Linked DNA regions of Rhinolophus ferrumequinum. The protein of the gene in region 1 interacts with the protein of each later gene in a pairwise test. Links are inferred from orthologs where the notes say so. Each region holds a gene or a part of one and is shown in the gene's direction. Other genes may lie near its edges.

Region 1 (7,637 bases):
TACATGCTGTCATGTTGGGACAACAGGGCTTTGAAGGAAATTGAAAGAGAGTAAGTGATAAGTGATGGCACAACAGGGGAGGTGAGGTCAGGCCTGTCTGGGGAGGTGACATCTGGGCAGAGACTTGAGGGAGAGGAGAGAGCCAACCATGTGGGGAATCCGGAAGGGGAACAGCAGGTGCAAAGGCCCCGAGGTGGGAGTGGCTTGGCGTATCTGAGACAAGGGAGGAAGCTTCAGGGCTGGAGCAGATGGGGTAGAGGGGAAAGTGGAAGGAAGAACATGAGGCTGAGGAGGGGACAGGAGCAGAGCCTGCAGGCCCTGGGGGCTGTGGAGGAGTTTCCATATCACTTTGAGTGGGATGGAAGCCACTGAGGGTTGTGAGCAGGGGAGACACAGGATCCAGTATACGTCATGTTACTCTTAATGCCTGAACCTCATCAAAAGGTCTTCCTTTCAATATTTTCTTTATTTTCAGGTAAAGAAAGAAGTCATTGGGGGCCAGATCAGGTGAGTAAGGTGGGTGTTCCAATACAGTTATTTGTTTACTGGCTAAAAACCCCCTCACAGACAGTGCCGTGTGAGCTGGTGCATTGTCGTGATGCAAGAACCATGAATTGTTGTCTAACTTTTTCATGCAGGCTTTTTAGCACTTCCAAATAGTAAACTTGGTTAACTGTTTGTCCAGTTGGTACGAATTCATAATGAATAATCCCTCTGATATCAAAAAAGGTTAGCAACATTGTTGCAACAAGTTCTCAAACTTAATTGTCTGACCTCATATATACCTATTGCCACAAAAATGCTGTGAGACACACCACCCCGAAATGCATTAGCTTTAAAACGGATGTGGGTTTAGCTGATTTGAGCAGGGCTCAGCTGGGAAGCTCTGCTCCATACTGTTGAAAACCAGACAACCGGCCCCAAATGGATTTATGCTAAGCCCCATGTCACCAAGACTTAATGACAGTTTCAGCTCTCCCAGACATGGAATCTTAAACCTGTCAATCAGGAATTGCCCAATCAGCACTAGTTAGGTAATCTGCCTCATAGACCCCTGCCGTCTCCTAAGGGAAAGTGACCTTGCAATAACCAAGCTGCTGGTTTGCCTAGAATAACTTCCTTGTTCCATTTCCCTTCTGCCTACAAGCCTTTCATTTTGTACAGCTCCTCGGAGCTCCTTTCTATCTGTTCTATTGGATGCTGCCCAATTCAAATTGATTTTTGCTCAAATAAACTCTTAAAAATTTGAATGTGCCTCAGTTTATCTTTCAACAATATGTAGATGTTGTGGGGTGTGGGCTGAATGGGGAGCCGCTATACAGGGAGAGTGTTTCTCGGGCCTATGCCAGGACACAGAAGGAAATGGTCAAAGCCTCTTAAGGCCTAAGCTCCGAAGTGGCACGACTGTCACTTGTGCTCCTCTGCCATTGGCCAAAGCAAGTCACATGACCACACAAAGTCAAGGCCGTCAGTCTACCTCCATGGGTGAGGGGTTTTTTTATTTGTGTTTTTCTTAAATGGGCACTGATGCTCATACATCCACACGCAATTCATATCCATGGAATATCTCTGAAAGATATTAGAAACTGGCAATCATGTTTACTTCTGGGAAGGGTGTCTGAGAATCAAGGGAGGCAAAGACCTACTTTTCACTATATAGTCTTGTTCTTTGGGAACATTTTTTTTTTCTGACAGTGCATTACTTTGTAAATTAAAAAAGGGGGAGCTTTTTAAAAATTATGGCCAAAGGTGAAAATAGAAAAGCCCCCAACCCATCCACCCATTTTCCTGACGTGGCAAATTGAGGCCTTAAGTGGTAGGATGGAAGTTTTGTTGAGTGACTTCTTGGCTGTGGTCTTGGACATGAGATTTTTCCTCTGTGAGCCTCAGTTTCCTCCTCTTTAGATGGGGCCAGTCATAGTGCCTGTTTCAGGGTGGCTGTATGGATTCAGGGACTCTGCTACTCCTTGGCTGCGTGATCGAATGAGTCACTTGACCTCTCGGTGCCTCATCTTCTCCTGTGGAATGGACATCATCAGCTACCTCAGCAGGTTGGTGTAAGGATTAACAGGGTTAATTTATAAGACATGGCATCCGGCCCATCCTGGGTAAGAATTCAGACATTCCAGTCCTCGTTGGTGTGCAAAAGTGCTTGGCACAAGGCTGGCCTAAAGAAATGACCACCTTAGTTAACATTTTCTTCTTTCAGACTTTGTCTCATTTAATCCTCACCACGCATGCTATGTGGTGAGCTTGATCATTCCAGTTTTATAGATGAGGAAATAGGTCCTCAGAAAATCATTGGTTGCCCCAGGTCACATGGAAAGGAAATGACAAGAGCAGGATTTGAACTCAGATCCACTTGACTCCAATTCCCTCCCTTGGCCCACAGCCACATTAATAGTGTTTACCGTGAGCTACTCTGAGCTAAGCCTTTTACGAGGATTATTCATTAATACCCACCACAGTCTCATAAAGTAGGTTACCTTTGTGAGTCCCATGCTACAGACCAGGAACCTGAGGCTCAGAGAGGTTAGTTCCTGGCTCAGGGGTCACACAGCTAGCAAATGACGGAGCAGGGAGTTGCACCTTGGCGGCCTGGCTCCTCTCTAGTCCCTGGGCTGCCTCCTAGTAAACATATGGCAGAACCACCACGCAGTGTCCTGAGGCCAAAAGAATTGGGAGTTGGGAAGGAGGGTGTTCAGCTGCCTCCTCTACTCTGTTCCCTAAAAATAATCTGGAGAAGTTAGAGTGTGAATTTAGGTTTTATTTTCCATCATTCAATCAACACTCACTCTCCCGAGTGCTTTCTCGGGGTTCCTCCTGTGTTGGGTAGCACTGGGGACACAATAGTGAGTCCAGTGTGGGAGATGATGACTCAGAATGGGAAAGGCTGGGATGTGGGAGCCCAGGAGCCTGCAGGAGTTCGGAAGGAGCGTCTCATCCAGCCTGGGGATATCGGGCAGAGAAAACTTCCAAGAGGAGGGAGCCTTTGCCTTGGGGCTTGGAGAACAGGTGCGGAGCTGGGCTGGAATTTGGGGCCTGGTTCACGGATCAGCAGTGCCCTCTGCTGGAAATTTCTTGTAGTGCAGTGACCAGGATACGGCAGAGGTCCGGAAAAGCCCTCTTTAAATAAATTCTGTGATGTTGGAATCCTGTGCACCCAGCTTTGGCCAGTTTACGTTTCTAGGTCTTGACTCAGTCATCCAGTCACTCAGAAAACTCTCAAATACATGGTGATGGAAGGAGAACTGACTCCGGGTGGTGAGCACACAATGGGATTTATAGATGATGTATTACAGAATTGTACACCTGAAACCTATGTAACTTTACTAACAATTGTCACCCCAATAAACTTTAATTTAAAAAAACAAACAAAAAAATCTTTACTGAGAAACTCCTTTGTACCAGGTTCTATTCTAGTGCTAAAGATGCAGTGCTGACCATACAGAGCTCTGCTCTCAGGAGCTGACATTCTAGGAGGAGAGAACCAATAACATGTCATACAACCAGTAGTTAATATTTGCTAAATGCTTTCTATCCATTTATTAACTCATTCAATCCTCACAGCCTTTGACTCTCCCCATTTTACAGATTAGAAAAACTGAGGCACAGAGAGGTTACGTTACTTGCCCAAGGCCTGCACAGCCAATAAGTGCTGAGATCTTATTCGAACCCAGAGCCCAATTTTTAGCCATTACATTACCGCGTCAATAATGTGATGTAACATAACATAATACAGTCGTACCTCAGTTTTCTAATGTAATCCACGAGTTCTGAAACGTTCGAAAACAGCCGACAGCTAGACCTCAGAATCTTGCACTCAGTGGAAGACGTGTGACAAGTTCGACTTCTGAGTCGTGTTCGAAAACCAAAGCATTTACTTCCAGGTTAACGGCATTCATAAACCAAAATGTTCGTCAGCGGAGATGTTCGAAAACCGAGGTACCACTGTAATGTGATATAATGTTACGTAAAATAATTGTAGGCCCTGAAAAGTTTTGTGAACCAAATCAAGAGTGGGAACGAGGTAGTGGTTTGGTGGGAGGGTGTGATTTAGAAGGGGCAGTCAGGCAAGGCCTCTTGGAGGAAGCGGCCTATGAGAAGAGACCAGAAAAAAGGTGAGATCTGTGGGAAGAGAGGTTCAAGCAGGAGCACAGCCAAGGCAAAGGCCTGGCAGCTGACACTGCAAGACCATGGTTCTGGCATCTAAAGTTTCCAAGATTCCAAGTTTTTAAGTTGCTGGCTCGCCGACGTCCCCGTTTCCAGGCCTCTAGCACGCTGGAATCATCCTCAGGTTCAACGTGCCCTGGAGGCTCCAGGCTCCTCCTCGGAGGTGGTGCTATTCCCACTGGGCCTTCGCTGTGGGGCTAAACTTTCCCTGGGCGGTGGGCGGGGCCGGTCTCACCTGCAGGGGGCAGGGCTCCAGGCCGCCCCGCCCCTGGGAGGACCCACCCCAGGCCCGAGACGCTAGGCGCAGCCGAGAGCGGCGTGTGGGAGACCGCAGGGCCCTGCACAGCAGAGCGGGTCTGGGAGCCGGCCGCAGTCAGGTGGGCGCCGGAAGTGTGGGGCGGGGGTCCCGGGGGTCGCGAGGATGTGGACGGGGGCGGAGGGTGAAGGCTGGGCCTGTCGCTCCCCTGGGCCCGCTGGCCTGTCAACGAGGACAGGCCTGGGGGCCCCTGGATGCCCCCTCCCCAGCCCTGGGGCTCCCCCGACTCTGGAGGCCCAGCTGGGGCCCCACCCCCTCCCCGTGCACAGGTAAACAGGAGCGGGGGCGGGGCTTAGGGAGAGAGAGGGGCCCCCTGTGACCGCTGCTGGGAAGCAGGGGTGCACTGGTCTGGGCAGGCCGGCCAGGGGTAAGTTGGGTGCTACGCCGGGCTGACCATGATGGGGACGTCCTGCCTGCGAGTGTATGGATATAGTGTGTGGTGCGTGTGTATTAGTGATGGTGTATGAAGCTCAGGTGTATGTCGAGATAGTGTCAGGCTGTGAGTATGGATGTGAAGGGGACATGGACTGTTTGTGTAACCCTAGGAGGGCACACAGGGACTGTGTGAAATGGTGTGGGGCTGTTTCAGTGATGTGAAAATGTGGGAGACCTCTGATTGTGTGTCTGTAATGCTCTGTGTGTACGGGAGGGAGTTGAACTCTTTGTAGGATTAGGTATGAATGTGACTAAGGTTGCATAGCTGTGGTTGTCTTTCTGCCAGTCATATGGGGGGTGGCAGGGAGGTGGGCAATGTGTGCAACAGAATGGTTGTGTGGGGTGTGTCTGATCATCATTGTCAGCTGTGTGGTTGTGTGACAGGTCTGAGCACGGGAAGGGGAGTCAGCTGCTTGGAGGACTGTACGAGTGTATGAGCTAGTGTGTCGAGGAAACAGCCCCAGTTCTATGTGGCTGTGCGTGTCGCTGTGACTGTTACTGTGGTTGGCTGTGGGTGGTGCAGGCGAGGCTGTGTCTGGAGCATTCAGCTCAGTTATTTGAGATTGTACATGAGGTTGTGGGAGGTTGTATAAATCGGCAGGATTTGTGATTGTCAGGATGACTCTTGAACTTGTGTGATTGTGTTTGACTGTTTATGGGGTTTGTGTGTGAGGTGTGAGACTAAGGATGGTGTGGCATACATACACACGCACATATATAGAAAGAGAGATGGATAAATGCCCAAACACATACACAGAAAGAGAGAGGTTGAGGGTGATGAGAACCGGCGATCTATAAAACACACAGGATTATGTGCTACCCTTACTGTGTGTCTAAGCGTATATGATTGTGAACTTGCAAGCAGGTGCAGAAACCGCTGGGCTGCTCATGGTGGACAGAGCTGCTAGAGTGAAGATGCCTCAGAGGGTGTGTGCATGTCCCCACAGCTGTCTGTGCCCTGGGCACCCACTTATGGCAGCATAACTGAGTCTGAGTTCAGGGGCCATTTGCACGTCCATGTTTGAAGCTCTATATGTGTATCCGTGTGCTCATGTGCAGATGGACAAATCCCTGGCCAGCCCTGCAAGGGGGTGGGGGGTGTTGGAGGACATGGGGAAGGTGGTGACAGGTCCACAGCGAATCCTGGGAATGTGTGTGTGTGCTCGGAGGAAGTACTAGGCATACAACGGAGAGTGGGCTGCTTGCGGAAGTGTGGGAGAGGCATGTGTCATGGGCATAAGTGCAAGGAGACACTCGGAATGTGAGAGACTTGGTTATATTTTCGCGGGTGAGGGAGGAGAGGCAGAGAGTTCGTTTCTGCATGTGTTGGTTTTTATTTCTGACAGGAAAATATATCTGTGTGTCAGTTTATATTTCTAAGACGGGAGTGTATGTGTGTGCGCCTGCATTAGTGTGTTGCATTAGGTTGTATTTTGAAAGGAAAATGTGTGTGTGTGAGTGTATGTGATGTGTTTGATTTTTCAGAGGAGAAAGAGTGTACTGAGTTGTATTTCTGAGAGGGGAGTGTGCATGTGTGTAAGTGTGTATATGAGGGCCTGAGCCACCACCAACTGTGTCATTGACTTTGTCACTCACATACAAGCCACATGAAGTCCTTCATGTGAGACCCCCCCACCCATTACAATCTGGGCCTCAGACCCTCAGTTGTCACGAGGCCAGTGTGACATCCATGGGCCACACCTGCCACACGTGTGTCCCAACACGCCTTGGGCGGGCTGAGCCTGTCTGCAGTAGAGGGTGGAGCCCCTGATCCCTCAGGGTCTGTCAGCTCCTTAGGCCCCCAGAGCCCATACAGGGTGCCCTGAGCCCCACCCCCCCATCTAGAGGCCTCCTCTGCTTCCGGTACCCCAGCCCCTCGGCTGCTCCTCCTGCCCCACCCCACCCCCAGTGGTCTGACTGGTTCTCAACAAAAACACCCTAAGAGTGAGCTCACGAGAAGCTGCCGCCTCCACACGCCCCGCCCCACACACCCAGCGGAGGAGGCTGCCTCCAGTCCCAGGTCACACAGCCAGGAGGTCCGGGCCAGGGTATCTAGGGCCCTTGGGGTGGCGAGGGCTGGCCACATGAGCTGGGGGCAGGTAGGAAGCCACAAGCCAGCTGTTTGCCTTCTTTTGGTTGGTCATCTTTGGGGTTTTGGAGTTGCCCTCGTGGCTGAGGACAGGCAAAGCTAGATTAGAATGTTCCCAGTTGCGGGCTGGCCAGGATGGGTGTGAGACAGGGTGCTGGCTGGAAAGAGGAGGGTACGGAGGCAGAGGGCTGGCTGGGATGGCTGGCTAGGGAGGTAACTAGGAGTCCTGCTGGTCAGAATGGCGTGGAGGCTGAAGGGCTGGCATGCCTGGCTTTGGCAGTGATTCCCCAATCCCGCTGCCCCTCAGGAACAGCAATGTCTGTGCAGGTGGCAGCCCCCGGAAGTGTGGGGCTGGGCCCAGAGCGCCTGAATCCTGAGGAGCTGGTGCGGCAGACGCGACAAGTGGTGCAGGGGCTGGAGGCCCTACGTACAGAACACCATGACCTGGCTGGGCACCTGGTGGAGGCCCTGGCAGGGCAGGGTCCAGTGGCTGGCTTGGAACTATTGGAAGAAAAGCAGCAGGTGGTGAGCCATTCGCTGGAGGCCATCGAACTAGGGCTAGGCGAGGCCCAGGTATGAGAGGGCCAGCTGTGGGGGGAGGCTCAGGCCTGGGTGGGGTCTGGG
Region 2 (7,438 bases), on another chromosome or scaffold:
GTATTTCCTTCTTATTGCTAAATAATACTGTATGAACATACCATATTTTGTTTATCTAGTCAGCCACTGATGGACATTTGGGTGGTTTCCACCTTTTGATTATTGCGAATAGAGCTGCTGTGAACATCTGTGTACAAGGTATGTACCTAGGAGTGGAATTACTGGATCAGATGGTAATTCTAAGTTTAACTCTTTGAGACGCCAACTGTCTCCTACAGTGGCTGCAAAATTTTACAAACCTACAGTGTGTGAGAGTGCCTATTTCTCCATATCCTCACTAACACTGTTTTGTTGTTTTTTAAAATTATACCCCAGTGGATGTGACATGGTATCCCATGGTGGTTTTGCCCATCCCTTTTCACTCCCTCAAATACCAGCTTCCTTCTCTAGGAAAGAACCAGAACATCATATAAATGTGTGAATTGGCATGTGTACACTTCACAAAACCACTCAGACCTTACAGGTTATCTTTAAAATATTATGATACTTTCCCCTGACACCAAACCCACTCTCCAGATTTTATGTAATAACTACATGATAACATAAACGCTGACACAGAAATCTTTTGAGGGTCTATATCTCTTCTCTTACTTGATTATGTGATTTTTTTTCAATGCCCAAAACCAATTTTGATATGTGATTTTTTTTTCTCTGTAAAGGTGACAAATATGAGGATTTATAAACTGAATAAAAACAGGTGCACTTGAAAGGTTCAGAACTTTCAATGTGGGAAACATTCAGAACATTCAAATGTGGGAAACTGGAATGCAACAATAGGAGGAGGAAAGGGCACTGTGGGGACAGAGCCCCAAAAAGCAGTTTCCAGGCTCTCGGCCTCACATAGAAAGGTGCTGGCTCAGGGAGTAAATGGCCATCGACTGATCAGATGGCCATCAGCTGTGGCTAGTTGGCCGTCAGCTGTAACCAGTGAGCCATTGGGCACTAATATAACTGCCGTGGCTATACTAGCAGCAAGTGGGGGCTAGCAAGAAGATGGTGGCTGAGCCTGCAAGCGGCACAGTGAGGGTTGAGAATTGTGTTGCTACTGGTTCTGTGTCTCCAACCCAGCTGCCAGTGACAGTATAGTGGTATGACTCCCCTACCTATGGCTCCGTGGGTGTTCCTGTTTGGCCTCACCATGTCCTGCGTTCTTGTGTGGGGAGTGGGACCAGAGACCCCTCATGCCACCCTGCATGACACAGGGCATAGCGAGCAGGGTCTCCTGCATGACAGCCTCCCTAGATTCCATTCATTCTGGTGGCTTTAATTACCATATATATACCAAAGGTGCCCAAAGTAACACCTTCTGTCTAGATCTCTTTTACCACCATGTAGTGGAACTGGCGGATGTTTGCTTTTGTGTCTTGACTGGCCACCACTGCGAATATGTAAGCACCTTGACTGTGAGCCGCTGTTGTTCCAGCACGGTACCCTGAGAGGCCCAGAGAGAGTGGCAGTGCCCTGAGAGCCCTGGCTGAGTCCAGGAAGTCTGGCTGAGCCCAGAGAGAGTGGCAGTGCCCTGAGAGCCCTGGCTGAGTCCAGGAAGTCTGGCTGTGTCCAGAGAGAGTGGCAGTGCCCTGAGAGGCCCTAACTGTGTCCGGGGAGACTGGTGGTACCCTAAGAAGCCCAGGAAGTCTGGCTGTGCCCAGAAGTACTGGTGGTGCCCTGAGAAAACCTGGCTGTGACCAGAGAGCTTGGCTGTGTCCAGGAAATAGCGTTCACCTCCAGGCTCCTCGCACAGGGCTCCTCGCGGAAGACGCTTGTCGCGTAGATTGTGAGGCGAGACCCTGTAGGGGTGGAGTGTGGGGACAGAGCCCTAAAAAGCAGTTTCCAGGCTCTCGGCCTCACATAGAAAGGTGCTGGCTCAGGGAGTAAATGGCCATCGACTGATTAAATGGCCATCAGCTGTGGCTAGTTGGCCGTCAGCTGTAACCAGTGAGCCATTGGGCACTAATATAACTGCCGTGGCTACGCTAGCAGAAAAAAGGGGGGCTAGCAAGAAGATGGGGGCTGAGTCTGCAAGCGGCACAGTGAGGGTTGAGAATTGTGTGGCTCCTGGTTCCTGTGTCTCCAACCCAGCTGCCAGTGACAGTATAGTGGTATGACTCCCCTACCTATGGCTCCGTGGGTGTTCCTGTTTGGCCTCACCATGTCCTGCGTTCTTGTGTGGGGAGTGGGACCAGAGACCCCTCATGCCACCCTGCATGACAGGCCCCATTCCAGAAGTAAGGTCTTACTGAAAATCTTTAGTTTCTTCTTCCCATCTGGGGTGGTAGTTTTTCTTTAACAACTAAAACTATGTTTTGCCAAATATCAAAACTATGTGTGTGCATCTGAAACAATAAAACAAGGAGATGGTCAAGGTAGAGATGCCTTTTGCAGGTGGTCCCAGTGGTTGAGAGGTATTTTCTGACAAAGGAGTAGCTACTGTTGGGACACCTGGGGTAGCAGCATATGCAAATAAGTGCTGGGAAGTGTTTCTGGGATTCACCTCCATTAAGTACGCAGAAGTCAGTACAGGTTATAAAACTTAGTATCGTAATCTTTACATTTATGGGAATCAGTGAAAAGCAGTTCACATAACACAACTGCAGTTGAGAAAGTGAACAAGAGTGGTGGCAGATGAAATATGGCTGTTCCAGGTTTTGGAAAGTTGAGGTCTTGGGAAATGCTTTTCCAGTAGAGTCAGGAGAAACACCCTTTTCCACACTATGGTAAAATAATGCTCATAACTACTGGCTCCCTTGGATCTAGAGGGAGTCACATTACAGTGATTACATTTATATCAGAGTTGTCCTTTTTTCCCCTCATAGTCCAGTCACCTCTAATCAAAGAGTAGGGAGAGTACTGATGGATTATGACAGCAGGGTCAGACCTCACACAAACTGAAAATGATTTGCCAACATTCAAAAACCAAGAGTTCAATCCAGGTCCTCAGTAGCCTATTTTATCCACAAGGAATTTGGCTAATCAGTGCATGCATTCAAAGGAATGCAAAGATATGAAGGGTGGTTACCTTCTCGCTTCAGGGTTGGAAAGGACCCTAGAGATTACTCACAGCAGAACACCTTCCCATGACACACTTGTGTCAGGGAGTTGAAATGACTGCCCTATTCTAGCCAAGCTATTTCAGTTACTGTTCCTTTGTTCCTAAATTAACAAGGAGGAAAACTGTGTACAGTAGGTGTCTACAATATGGAGGTTATTTTGAGAAAGTGCAATAAAACATACTTGAGTTTTCCCTACTGGGCCTAGGTCATCCAATTTACTAAGCCTTAGCCAGAGTTTGTATCTAGAGGACGCTGGCTTGCTCCTTAGTTACCCATCTTGATGATGGGGACATCGTTCTTCCACAAGCGCTTACGCAGGCGTACAAAGGCACTGCGCTAAGGCAGTATCGGGGTGGGGTGGGCACAGAGTCCAGTAAGACGTGGCAGCTTCACCCGTATTGAACGCTCACGATTTGGTGGTCCACGCCTGTTATTATTATTACTGACCTCTATTTTTTTTTTTAAGATTGATGGTGGGAGAAAAGTATCCGAGATAATATTTACCTGAGCATTTATTATGTGAAAGACACTCTTCCATGCGCCTTAGTAGTAACTCATTTAGTCTTCAAGTAATCCTGCGAGGCGGGTACTATTCTATCCCCATTTCACAGATAAAGAGACTGAGGTCCAGAGATTAATTACTTCCACAAGGTCACACAACCACTCAGTGGTGGAGACGAGTTTGAACACAGGCAGCCTGGCTCCACAGAGCCAGGAACAAAGGAGTAAAGTGATAGAGGACGGAGGAGGGGGGACAAAGCGAAAGACAGGGAGAGGGGCGGTGTGGGGGAGGACAACAGAAGAGCGTCTTTTACCTTCTCAGAGAAAATGCTAGGTACGCCATCCACTTACTGACTTGCATATTTCCATCACTTTAGCGCCAGGAGTCACTGCCAGGAATGGAAAGGTTAAAAACTCCTAACTCGGTCACGTTCGTCCCCGATCCTGAGCAGGTTCTCCCATAAGAGCTCAGTAGTTGGTGGTCCCCTCCTCTGAGACTAGCCTCCATCACCGCATGGCCGGCTCCACGGGCGAACTACAACACCCAGTATACACCGCGCGGGAGCCTGGGTCCACACTGAGGGAACGCGAGGGTATCCCAAAGGCGCCTTGAGAAAAAAAAAATCACCTACGTTTAACGCCGCTTTTCCACCTTCACACCGCTATCCCCTCCAGGATGAAGCATCGCCTTATCTATTAGCAGCGCATGCAGTGAAGCGTGTAGCGTCGCTCCTGCCTTCAGGCATAGCAGAGGGCAGGCAAGAGGAAGGCACGTAGGCACGAGGTCCCCGGGCCACGCTCGGGGCGGAGTCAGTGGCGGCGGGGCTGGGATACAAGCCGGAAGTGTGCGAGGACGAAGGCGGAGGTTTGAGTGGCTGCGGGCGCGCGCTTCCGTCCGTGCGTCGACGTCGGCCGGCTGAAAAGGCGCCTCGGCAGGCTCTCCGGCCGTCACCTTGCGCACTTCCCCGGCTCCAAGGCCCTGAGTCGCGGCTCGTCGCACCTTTGGCCGTGACGACATGAGCAACAAAGAAGGTGGCGTTCTCAAGAGCGCTGGGTGTTACTTATTCAGAGGGGATTGGATGTCCAGCCTTTTGGTCGGATTTCCCACTTCTCACCGAGGGATGCCCTCTCCCTTTGCAGGCTCGGGGTGAGGGGCGGCGGCCCTGGTGATTTTCCGGGCCACACTGGCTTTGTTTACACTTCTCATTTTCCTGGGTCCTCAAGCTGTTTTTTTACAAATGTTAGTTCAGTAATTGCTCCACCTTGTGCCAGATCAGGGAGCGCGTGGGTGGGAGGCCTGGCGGAGGGAGCTGGAGGTTTGGGGAGAAGACGCGGGGCTTTTGCATCAGGCTGAGAAGGCCTCCAAAGCGAGGGCCCTGTGGGCGTCTGGTATTAACGGAAAGAAGGGGTTTGCCTGCCTGCGTTATGTTTTGTCGCCTCTTGGTGATGGAGGAACCCTATCCGACTTTTTCCTCCTTCTCTACGTAAGGATCTGGAGGGTTCAGGAAAAGGAAGCATGACAATTTCCCACATAACCAGAGAAGAGAAGGGAAGGATGTTAATTCATCTTCACCTGTGATGTTGGCCTTCAAATGTAAGTTCTCTGTAGTGTTAAGCTGGCGAAGGGAAGAGAAAGAGATTGTAACAAAGATTGTTTAGCCAGTGTTGTGCACAAGGAAAAAATAACGCCTAAGAATGTAAGATGTACATATGTGAACATTTTACTTTTCCTGGAGGTTTTGGATGGTGCTAGGTCTGCCATGAAATTCAAGAGTACAAGTGTCTTGCCCTTTTTTCCCGTTACAGTTGCACAGGTAAACATTGTTTAATATGAAATGTCATACAGATAAACACACACACGGTCACGCGTGCTGCTTAATGACCTGGAGAAATGCTCGTAAGGTGATTTCATCCTTCTGTGAACACAGAGTGCGCGGACACACACCTAGAGGTCCAGCCTCCTACGGTAATTGCACGCGCTGGACTGTTGTGTGACCGGCAGCACAGTAGGTCTGTTTACACCAGCAGCACCACTAACACGAGAGGAATGCATTGCTACCACGTTAGGAAGGCAGTGAAGTCCCTAGGTGATAGGAAAGTTTTAGCACCGTTATAATCTTAGGGGACCACCATTGTATGTGAGGTCCATTGTTGACCAAAACGTCATTAGGTGGCACATGACCACGTGTATCAGGTGTGTGTTTATACATACATTTAACATTTTTTTAACGTGTATTGGTTGTGTTTCCTCAACTAGACTTTTGAAGATGGACTATATTTTTGTATTGACTAGCACTTTGCACAGAGTGGGACTCCTATCTATTAGTAAATCATACATGGACATAGATATATGTGTATGCACGGCCCCCCTTTTCTCAGTATATTAACTTCGTCAGGGTGTTCCACATTTCAAAACAAAACATGAAACAAAATTCTTCGTCCTCTGGTTCGCCATCCTATACCTTATAGTTTCCGTGGTTCTGGAACCTGAGAGGGGCTTAGCTGTTGGTTCTAACTCGCAGTCATCCGAAGCCTGCATTGGAGTCCGAGGGTCCCCAGCTATTGACAAGGGAGGGCTTCTGCCAACAGCCAGCCTCCATAGTGCTGCTTGAGTGTCCTCATGTTATGGCATGGGGCTTCCCACACACAGCAAGGAGGAAACCACAGTCCCTTTATGTCCCAATCTCAGACATCATGCACTTTTTGCTACATTGATTTAAGGGGAAGGGAACTAGGTCCCACCTTTTGAAGGGAGGAATAACTTGTGAACATACTGTAGAGCCACCACAGCACCTGAGAGGTGTGAGAACTGGTCGTGACTGAGGACAGAGCACAGGGCTCCCGCTGTGCTGTGGCTGGAGGAAGACAGCGGGCCTGGCCGATATTCCCGCCCTTGTGCTCTGACACACGCACAGCGGCTTGTTTCCAAGCTGATTTTGCTGTTTTATGCTTCTGCCTACCTTTTCGCACATAGTTCTTTAAGCTTGGAATTCCTTCTAACTTGGTGCCCCATTGTCCCTCTGGTTTGCTGTGGTTTTGTTCAAGACCTAGCTCAAGTCGCTTTTTCCCTTTGAAGCCTTTCTGACTTTTCTCTCAAGGAAACTTGGTGACAAACATTTTGTTCATTCATTATCCATTCATTCAGTCATGAGACGTTTATTGAACGTCCACTGTATTCTAGCATGTGTTAGTGGTGAACCAGAAAAATGTGGTTCCTGCTTTATTGAACCTTTTACATATATTTATAATAGCATGGTCACATTTTATTTTTTGTTTATATGTCTGCCTTCTACTGTACTAAGCTCATTGAGGATAGGAACTGTCTTGTTTAACTTTGTATTCATAGTAATTAGTTCACAGTGGTCGTTAACATATTCATAATCAGTAAATGGTTGTCTTGAACTATTAGACAAAACTCATAGCCTAATTGTTATCTCAATAATAAAAGACCAGATGTATTTAGGCCCTTGTCAACTACTAATTTGGTTACTGGTTTATTCAAGTTCTGGGTTTTTCTTTTTTTTAATTCATGCAAAATACATCTGTTGGGTGCTCCTTACGGGACAGGCATCTTTGGTGTGACAATGCTTCTGAAATAAAGTGGTTATGAAGAGTTAAATGGTTTACAGGTGTTTCAATGACTAGAGCTTGAAACTTTAGACAGTTGATGTTATCAAAAGTTATAACGTTTAATTAAATTCTAGTTTCTTTTTGGGGAATGTTTATATTGTATATGGTAAAGTAATTTAAAAAACTTTACGTTACTTAGGGAGGTAGTTGGAAATAATTTTTTAAAGTAGTTATATGTGATAATTTTGTGATAATCTCATGTTTAATAGACCAGATACTTTTTACAACATATACAGTTCACATCTATTTAAAGGAAG
Region 3 (7,362 bases), on another chromosome or scaffold:
GGCTGAATGAACTAAGCTCTTGGTCTTCCATGGAGTCAAACCACATAGGGGTCTTATCTACATTAGTACCAGGTATCAGTATTCAGGGATATGAAATCTTATTACCCAGCTCCCTATTCAGCCCTAAGGTTACTGTCATTGAGAGAAAACTGTATTTGTGCATGTCATAATTATTCTACTATACTCAAAGGACCCTGAGGTAGGAACTATAAAATAGCCATTTTTATGTTCCCATCACCATCACCACCACCATCTAACAATTAGTACTAAGCCTTGAGTATAGTGGTGATTTAGTAAGATATGCTGAAATGGTCACGAATTTATAGAATTCACTCCTCACTATGTTGTCAAGTCTATTTACACCTTAATTTTAAATAGTCCTAAAACAAAAGAAAAAGTGTTTCAGTTTTGGGAGGTTACATTTAGATCAAGGATATTTTTTAAATGCTGTTTCTTTTTTTCTTTTCTTTTCCTTTAGTAGTACCCTGTTTTGGAGAAACTAGATATTTTCTCCTCTTAGTCCTAACTTGGTCACTGGGAAAAAACAAACAAACTAGAAAAGGATTTTAGAGGCAAGTGTATATATCAAATAGAACTGCAAAAGTCTTGTTTTTACATATCATTGCAAAGCTATATTTAGAATGTCAGAAACCCATGTCAGTAGCTGAAGGGGTACAGTTTCATGTCAGATTTTAAAGTAAGAAAGACATTGTATTTTTGTGAGCATGGATGTGGCTTTATTCCAAAACACCATTCTATTTTCCTTGTAGCCATGAAATCAGAAACTATGTGAATATGAGTATACTGATATGTTTGGAAAATAAAGACTATAAATTAATCAGGCCACTTAAAATATTTTATTAGACTGCAAAACTATTTCAAGTTGCACATATATTTATTGGTTACTCCCTCACCCTTCTTATTCCCTTTCTACCTTTACTCCTAAAATCAGGCAGTCTTATCTTTATTTTTCTAAAACATTAAGATCACTAGGGCAGAGCCTGAAGAAGGAATATTGTCCTAAAGGAAGAGAGAAATTTATGTTTTCTACACTGGAGTAAACTTTCATTTTTTAAATTAAATTTATTAGAGTGACATTGATTAGTAAAATTTTATAGGTTTCAAGTGTACATTTCTATACTACATCATCCATATACTGCATTGTGTGGTCACCACCCAGAATCAGTTCTCCTTATATTTTACCCTCTTTACCTCATCTACCACCCCCCTTCCCCTTTATCCTCTGGGAACCACTAAACTGTTGTCAGTGTCCATGAGTTTTTGTTTCTTTGTTTGTTTGTCTTGTTAGTTTTTTGCTTTCAGTGTTATGTACCACATATGAGTGAAGTCATATGGTTCTCGACTTTTTCTGTCTGAATTATTTCACTTAACATGATAAATTCAAGAGAGAGGAATTCTTAATACTCTCATGGGAAGCTTTGGCATGGTATATGGATAAGTATAGTGCTTCTGGGGTGATCAACAGATGACCTCTGCTTTGCATCGCTTGATCTGATTGGCAACCTCTGGTTTTGACGTAATGTCTGCAATTAAAAATACTTAGTTTGTTATAAAAATACATACTGCAACACAATTTAACAACTGCAGTACACTAAAAGATTGTGTTTATTTAAAAGAAGGCACTGTAATCATGCCTATTAGTTAACATTCACTTCTGGGTAAAGCCCAATGAATTAGTACTATCTTTGTTTTCAAATTTTGAATGTTTGTACTGCTCTTCTAGGAAGTATAGATTCTGTCTATTTTGTTTTTTATTGTTTGAAACATCTCCATCTAGCAGCAGAGATTGTGATTTAAAAGTCATGGGGACGTCGGGGAGTGGAGGATAATTATTGAAATACATTTTTCTCTATTCTCAATGTTTGAATTTTTTTATAAACACGTAAGAGTGGAGAGAAACACTTGCTACTTTTTAGTTGGAACTAGAAATGGAAATAGGTAAAGGCACCATGTTCTAAGTCCAAGTTCTAAGTCTGCCTTCCGGTTGAAATAGTACAAGAAATAAACATGCTCAACAAGCTGAACAGGGGAATGTCATTCAGGCAGACTGACTGGTGCAGCATCCAGCCTGGCTCACCTTAAGAAAAAGAAATCATATATGAGTCCTAATATTAGGGCATCAGCAACAACTTTATTTTGTCCATGGTTAATTTAGGTACAATTTCTTCTACATTCCAAAAGCATGGTCAAGGTTAATTTTCATAGACTAAAATTTTTTAAAGATTTTATAAAATAGTTACACCAGAAACACCAGGTTTTTCATATTTGTCTTCCTAAATGAATTATGACATTCAGCAGTTATACTCTTATCCCTGTGGTAATCATTTTCTGCCACCTCTCCCAAATGCCCCTTTTTATTTCCCTTTACATGAAACTGAAGTAGTTGTCAAATGCCTCTCAGAAAAACAAAATAAAAAGAATTGACATGGTATATAGAATTGACAGGGGTCTAAGACTTTATTCATTTATCTAAATCATTTCCTTTCCTGCCTACCTTTCATTTTCTCCTTTTAAATTATTCTTCGTTATACAATCATTTATGGTGCTCACAATCCACTGGAGTCATAACTTGCCATGTCCCTCCTTAACATTAAGTTGATGTAAGCGAAGCCATTTTAAAATAGAGCTATTATAGCCACTCCAAGGAACTGCCTTGCATGTGTTTTCCTCAAACATTTGGAATGGGAAAAATAATCCTTGGACTGGGCAAAGCCAACATTGTATTCCAAACAGTTTGTAAAAATAACAAGTAAGCAGACATTCTGACTACAAGGACTGAAAATTAAGGGCAGTCTGTAGAATTAGCACAACCATGTATAGCTAAAAATTAGCTTACTAACATCAACAGAAATTCCTTTCTTCTATTCATGTAATTATTTCCCTTCCCTTTCTCATAAAACCCCTGCCTTCCCCCCAAAATCAGAACACTTTCTGAGTTTCTGCCTGAATCACTGCTTTCCTAATAGCTATTCTTTGATCTCAAAAAAATGCTTGTTGCCTTTCACTTTGGCTTTTTATTTCCCAGGTTAACAACCTCATATTTTTTTCTTTCTCTTTTTCTCTTTTCTCTTAGCCAATTTAACTAGTCTGAATTACTGACACATGTTCAAGGAGTGCCTGGATCTCCAGAGTTATAAACTACAAATGATGTAAGTTTGTGCAATTCAAATAACTCTGGCAAAGTCTACTTACCCTCAACTGTACTCGCCAAAATGAAACAAAAAAGAAGAAAAAGCTCTCCCTTTCTTAAGCAGCTAAAAACATTTTCACAGAAAGCAGAGTTAGAGATATCCTATCACCTATTTTTAACTGTGTGGTCTTTTGAATATCTGAACTCTTTGTGTCTCATCTTCATTACCTGATTTTTTATCTGTTGGTGTTTAGAAAAATGATTTGCTGTAGGTAAATCTATCTAACCCAATGTATGATGCATAGGAGAACGTGGTGTGCTTAAATGGGACAGATATCAAAACTAGTAAAGGCTTTTGGAATTCATGTAAATTCTGTATCTCAAATGCAATTTTGAAAGTATTAGTAACAAAAAAATTGTGAATCTTTTAAGTATTAACAGATAGTTTATTGCAAGTTTCCCTTGGGGCAATAATGAAGATGAGGATTTCAAGAAAATCCTAAAACTACCATACGTCATGGCCTCGGAGATGGAAATGGGGGAAAGGATTGGCAGAATCCAATCCAATTGAGCAGAAGAGGAAAGGAAAAGGCACAGAAAAAGATAGGGTCACATTATTGGCAGAGCAATAAAGAACAATACACATGCACTGCTTCTAGTTTTCCAACCATGTTCTGTTATCTCTGAGGCAGAGATTTTTGGTAGTGCTCCAGACACATTCTTTCTTCAAAGAGCCAGGAATACTTCTGCCTTAGGGCCTTCACTGTTCTTTTTGCCCCAGCATCACTCCCACGTGACTGATATGCCTAATCCCTCAACTCTTTCAAGTCTTTATTCCATGTCACCTTCTTAGTGTAGCCTACTCTGAATATCCTATTTAAAAAAGGTGACACCCTCCTAAGTCCTTGCCCCCTCTTCTGATTACCCCGTGTGAATTATGTTAGCCTGCACATACCCTCAATTTACATTCCTTTGGCCATCTCAGCCTGTCACTTCTCCTTTAAGCTTTGTAGGAAAGGGGCGGAGCTAGAGCCAGGGCTCGCAGAAAGGCGGAGCATATCCGTACGCTCCGGCCACTTAGGGAGCAGGCGGCGGCTAAATCAGCGCTAGAGAGGTTCTCCGCTCCGGAAACGCGATCGCCGACGAAGTCACCACGTGATTGTGACGTCAGCGCACCCGCGCCTGACGGCCTGACGCCCTGCGCTGTCGTGGTTTAGCTGCTTTACACCACGGTGTGGTGGCGTTTGGGGTCTTTTTCTCCAGACTTCCTGGGCCTGGTCTCGGACTTAAGGATGTACCACAACAGTAGCCAGAAGCGGCACTGGACTTTCGCCAGTGAGGAGCAGCTGGCACGATTGCGGGCTGACGCCAACCGCAAATTCAAATGCAAAGCGGTGGCGAACGGGAAGGTGAGGACACGGGTGGCCGCCCCGCTGCCCGGACCTCCTAACTCTTGAACAACTGCGGGATCTAGTGCCCCCGCCCCCGGGGCTCTCTGGACACCTCCCCTTCTCCTCCCTCCGGAGCGCACGTTCATTTGTTTAATAAACAGGCGAACACCTTGTCAGGTGCTGTGGGTACAGAGGCGGACAACACCATTTCCGTAGTTGAGTGGCAGGCAAATAACCAGTAATATGGCGTAGGAGACTTTGTAGGATGTCCGTGTAGTGCGGAACCAGAGCCGTTCACTTGTCAAAAGGAGACCTCCGGGAGGGCTTTTCCCAGTAGCTGATGCGAAGCAAATGGGGAAAGAACATTCCCGGAGGACGGAACCACAGGTGCAAAGTGGGAAGTTGTAGGGCGGGTTCCTGGAATGCTCTAGATCGTTTGTAGTGGTAGCAGAGCACCTGTGCAAGACAGGCTGGAAAAGGTAGGCGGGGAGCTTGTAAGCGAAAGTAAGGAATTTGAACTTGATGAAGGGATGGGGAACCTTTGAAAGATTTTAAATGGGAAATTAACTTTACAGATGCTGTTCTAGAAAGAGCCCTCTGGCATCCTGGTGGTGAATGGATTGGATGGGGCAGGGTGGGGGCGGGGAGACAAGACACCGTTTGCACAAACCAGTTGATTGAAGATGGTTTGGATTATGGCCTGCCCGCCAAGTTCTCCCTGTTACAGCTACCAACCACCTTTCCCTCACAAGCTCCAACACCCATCCTAGTAACTGCAAGCTTCCCTCCAGCAAGTATTCCATGTCTAAGATTGTTGGGACTGAGGTACTGTACTTTTAAGTCACAGCTATTTCATATCACTTTATTTTTGTGCTGCATGCCAGGCACTATTCTAAGCATTTGGCAAGTGTTAGATCTTTTAATTTTCACAGCTACTGAGGTAAAGACTGTTATTATCCTCACTTCCTAGCTGAAGAAACAGGTACAGAGAGCAATAACTAATCAAGGCTACATTGGTAGTAAGTGGCAGAGACAGGATTTGAACCCAAGGAAGGAATCTAGTTCCAGCATTCCTGCTCTAAACCGCAATGCCATATTGTCTATAAAATTAGCACCTGTGTTAGTTTCCTAGGGCTGCCATAAAAATACTACCACAAACTGTGGTGTAAAACAAGAGAAATGTATTTTTTCACAGTTCTGGAGGCTAGTGAGATCAAGGTTGGCAGGTAGTTGCTCTCTGAAGCTTGTAGGGGTGGATCCTTCCTTTCCTCATACAGCTTCTAGGAACCCCAGGTGTTCCTTTAATTGTGGCAGCATAACTCCAATCTCTACCTCCATCTTTACATAGTGTTCTTCCTGTGTTTCTGTATCTTCACATGTTCTTATACGGATACTAGTCATATTGGATTAGGAACCAACTCTACTCTAGTACATCTGATTACATCTACAGTGTGGGGACAGAGTCCCAGAGAGCAGTTTCCAGGCTCTCGGCCTCACGTGGAAAGGTGCTGGCTCGGGTTGTAGATGGCCGTCAGCTGTGACTAGTTGGCCATCAGCTGTTATCAGTTAGCCAATTAGCCACTGATATAACTGCTGTGGCTAGGTTGGTTCGTTGGTTGGCAGGCAGAAAAGTGGACGGCGGATTGTGGATTGTGTGGATCCTACTTCGTGAGTCTCGCCTGGCTGCCAGAGAGACTGGGGTGCAGGGAGTCCCTTTGTTGGGGTACTGGCGGATGTTTGCTCCCTGTGTCTCCAACCCAGCCGCCAGAGAGAATATAGTGGTATGACTCCCCTATCTATGGCTCCATGGATGTTACTTTTTGGCCTCACGTTTTTTTGTGGGGAGCAGGACCAGAGACCCTGCATGACACCCCACGTGACAGACCGTATTTCCAAATAAGGTCACATTCTGAGGTCACATACAAACATACCTCATTTTATTGAACTTGGCTTTATTGTGCTTCACAGATGTGTTTGTTTTTTTTCTTCACTAACTGAAGGCAAACCCTCCACCAGCAAAATGATCACTATTTGCTTTATTGTGGAGGTCTGGTAACTGAACCTACATTATTTCTGAGGTGTGCCTCTACTGGGGGTTTAGGACATCAATATATCCTATTTTGGTAATTGTAATTAAACTAGTAACAGCATCTAATGGATATTTTTTGTAAAGTTGTATTTATTAACCATCTAGAATGCATTCTGTAGAGAATTTACAAAGGTGGATAAGAAGTAATGTTTTCAGGGTCAGAATTATCCTTGCAATACTTGTTGATTCTTACCTCAACCTGTGTGACTTAATAACTGACTGAGAAAGAAGTCTTGAAAACTTTCCAAATATGAACCACGTATATCTTCTTTTTGATTTCTAAATAATGACATCAAACCTGTAAGCATAGGCATACATTCCATCATGATTGCTTATACCTTAATGAAGCAAATACCCAATTGACATTCTGAGAAATTGTGAAATTATGGTATAATTTTAGGTTATTAAATTTTTTCCTAAAGCCATTTTGTGTAATAATGAACAATTCTATAAAGTGGAAATGAGTTGTGGTATATTTCCCTTTGGCTGGAGATATTAATAGAAACTAATCTGGACAGAAAAATATTTTAAGATTCAATTGACTGAACTTTTGGTGTAACTTTTAATCTAAAGGTTCTTCACAATGATCCAGTCTTTCTTGAGCCTCATGAAGAAATGACACTCTGCAAATACTATGAGAAAAGATTATTGGAATTTTGTTCAGTGTTTAAACCAGCAATGCCAAGGTCTGTTGTGGTAAGTTATGGTAGTGATGGAGTATAATGTCCTTT

What was found. The genes of interacting proteins can lie anywhere in the genome.
Region 2: the proteins of KLC3 (region 1) and TSNAX interact in binary tests that used the Homo sapiens proteins (3 or more experiments, as listed by UniProt). The two-hybrid records come from large-scale screens. The link is inferred for Rhinolophus ferrumequinum from reciprocal best matches to the Homo sapiens genes KLC3 and TSNAX.
Region 3: the proteins of KLC3 (region 1) and CCNH interact in binary tests that used the Homo sapiens proteins (3 or more experiments, as listed by UniProt). The two-hybrid records come from large-scale screens. The link is inferred for Rhinolophus ferrumequinum from reciprocal best matches to the Homo sapiens genes KLC3 and CCNH.

Annotation. Positions count from the first base shown.
Region 1 is NC_046298.1:41,721,605-41,729,241, forward strand, and holds the start of KLC3 (kinesin light chain 3), read left to right. Parts: upstream 1-4,450; 5' UTR 4,451-4,550; intron 4,551-6,936; exon of another isoform or gene 6,937-7,023; intron 7,024-7,320; 5' UTR 7,321-7,328; coding exon 7,329-7,586; intron 7,587-7,637. UniProt on the Homo sapiens protein: Kinesin is a microtubule-associated force-producing protein that may play a role in organelle transport. Plays a role during spermiogenesis in the development of the sperm tail midpiece and in the normal function of spermatozoa.
Region 2 is NC_046310.1:25,441,108-25,448,545, reverse strand, and holds the start of TSNAX (translin-associated protein X), read left to right. Parts: upstream 1-4,379; 5' UTR 4,380-4,567; coding exon 4,568-4,583; intron 4,584-5,040; coding exon 5,041-5,145; intron 5,146-7,438.
Region 3 is NC_046290.1:56,804,027-56,811,388, reverse strand, and holds the start of CCNH (cyclin-H), read left to right. Parts: upstream 1-4,303; 5' UTR 4,304-4,443; coding exon 4,444-4,560; intron 4,561-4,847; exon of another isoform or gene 4,848-5,021; intron 5,022-7,204; coding exon 7,205-7,327; intron 7,328-7,362. UniProt on the Homo sapiens protein: Regulates CDK7, the catalytic subunit of the CDK-activating kinase (CAK) enzymatic complex. CAK activates the cyclin-associated kinases CDK1, CDK2, CDK4 and CDK6 by threonine phosphorylation.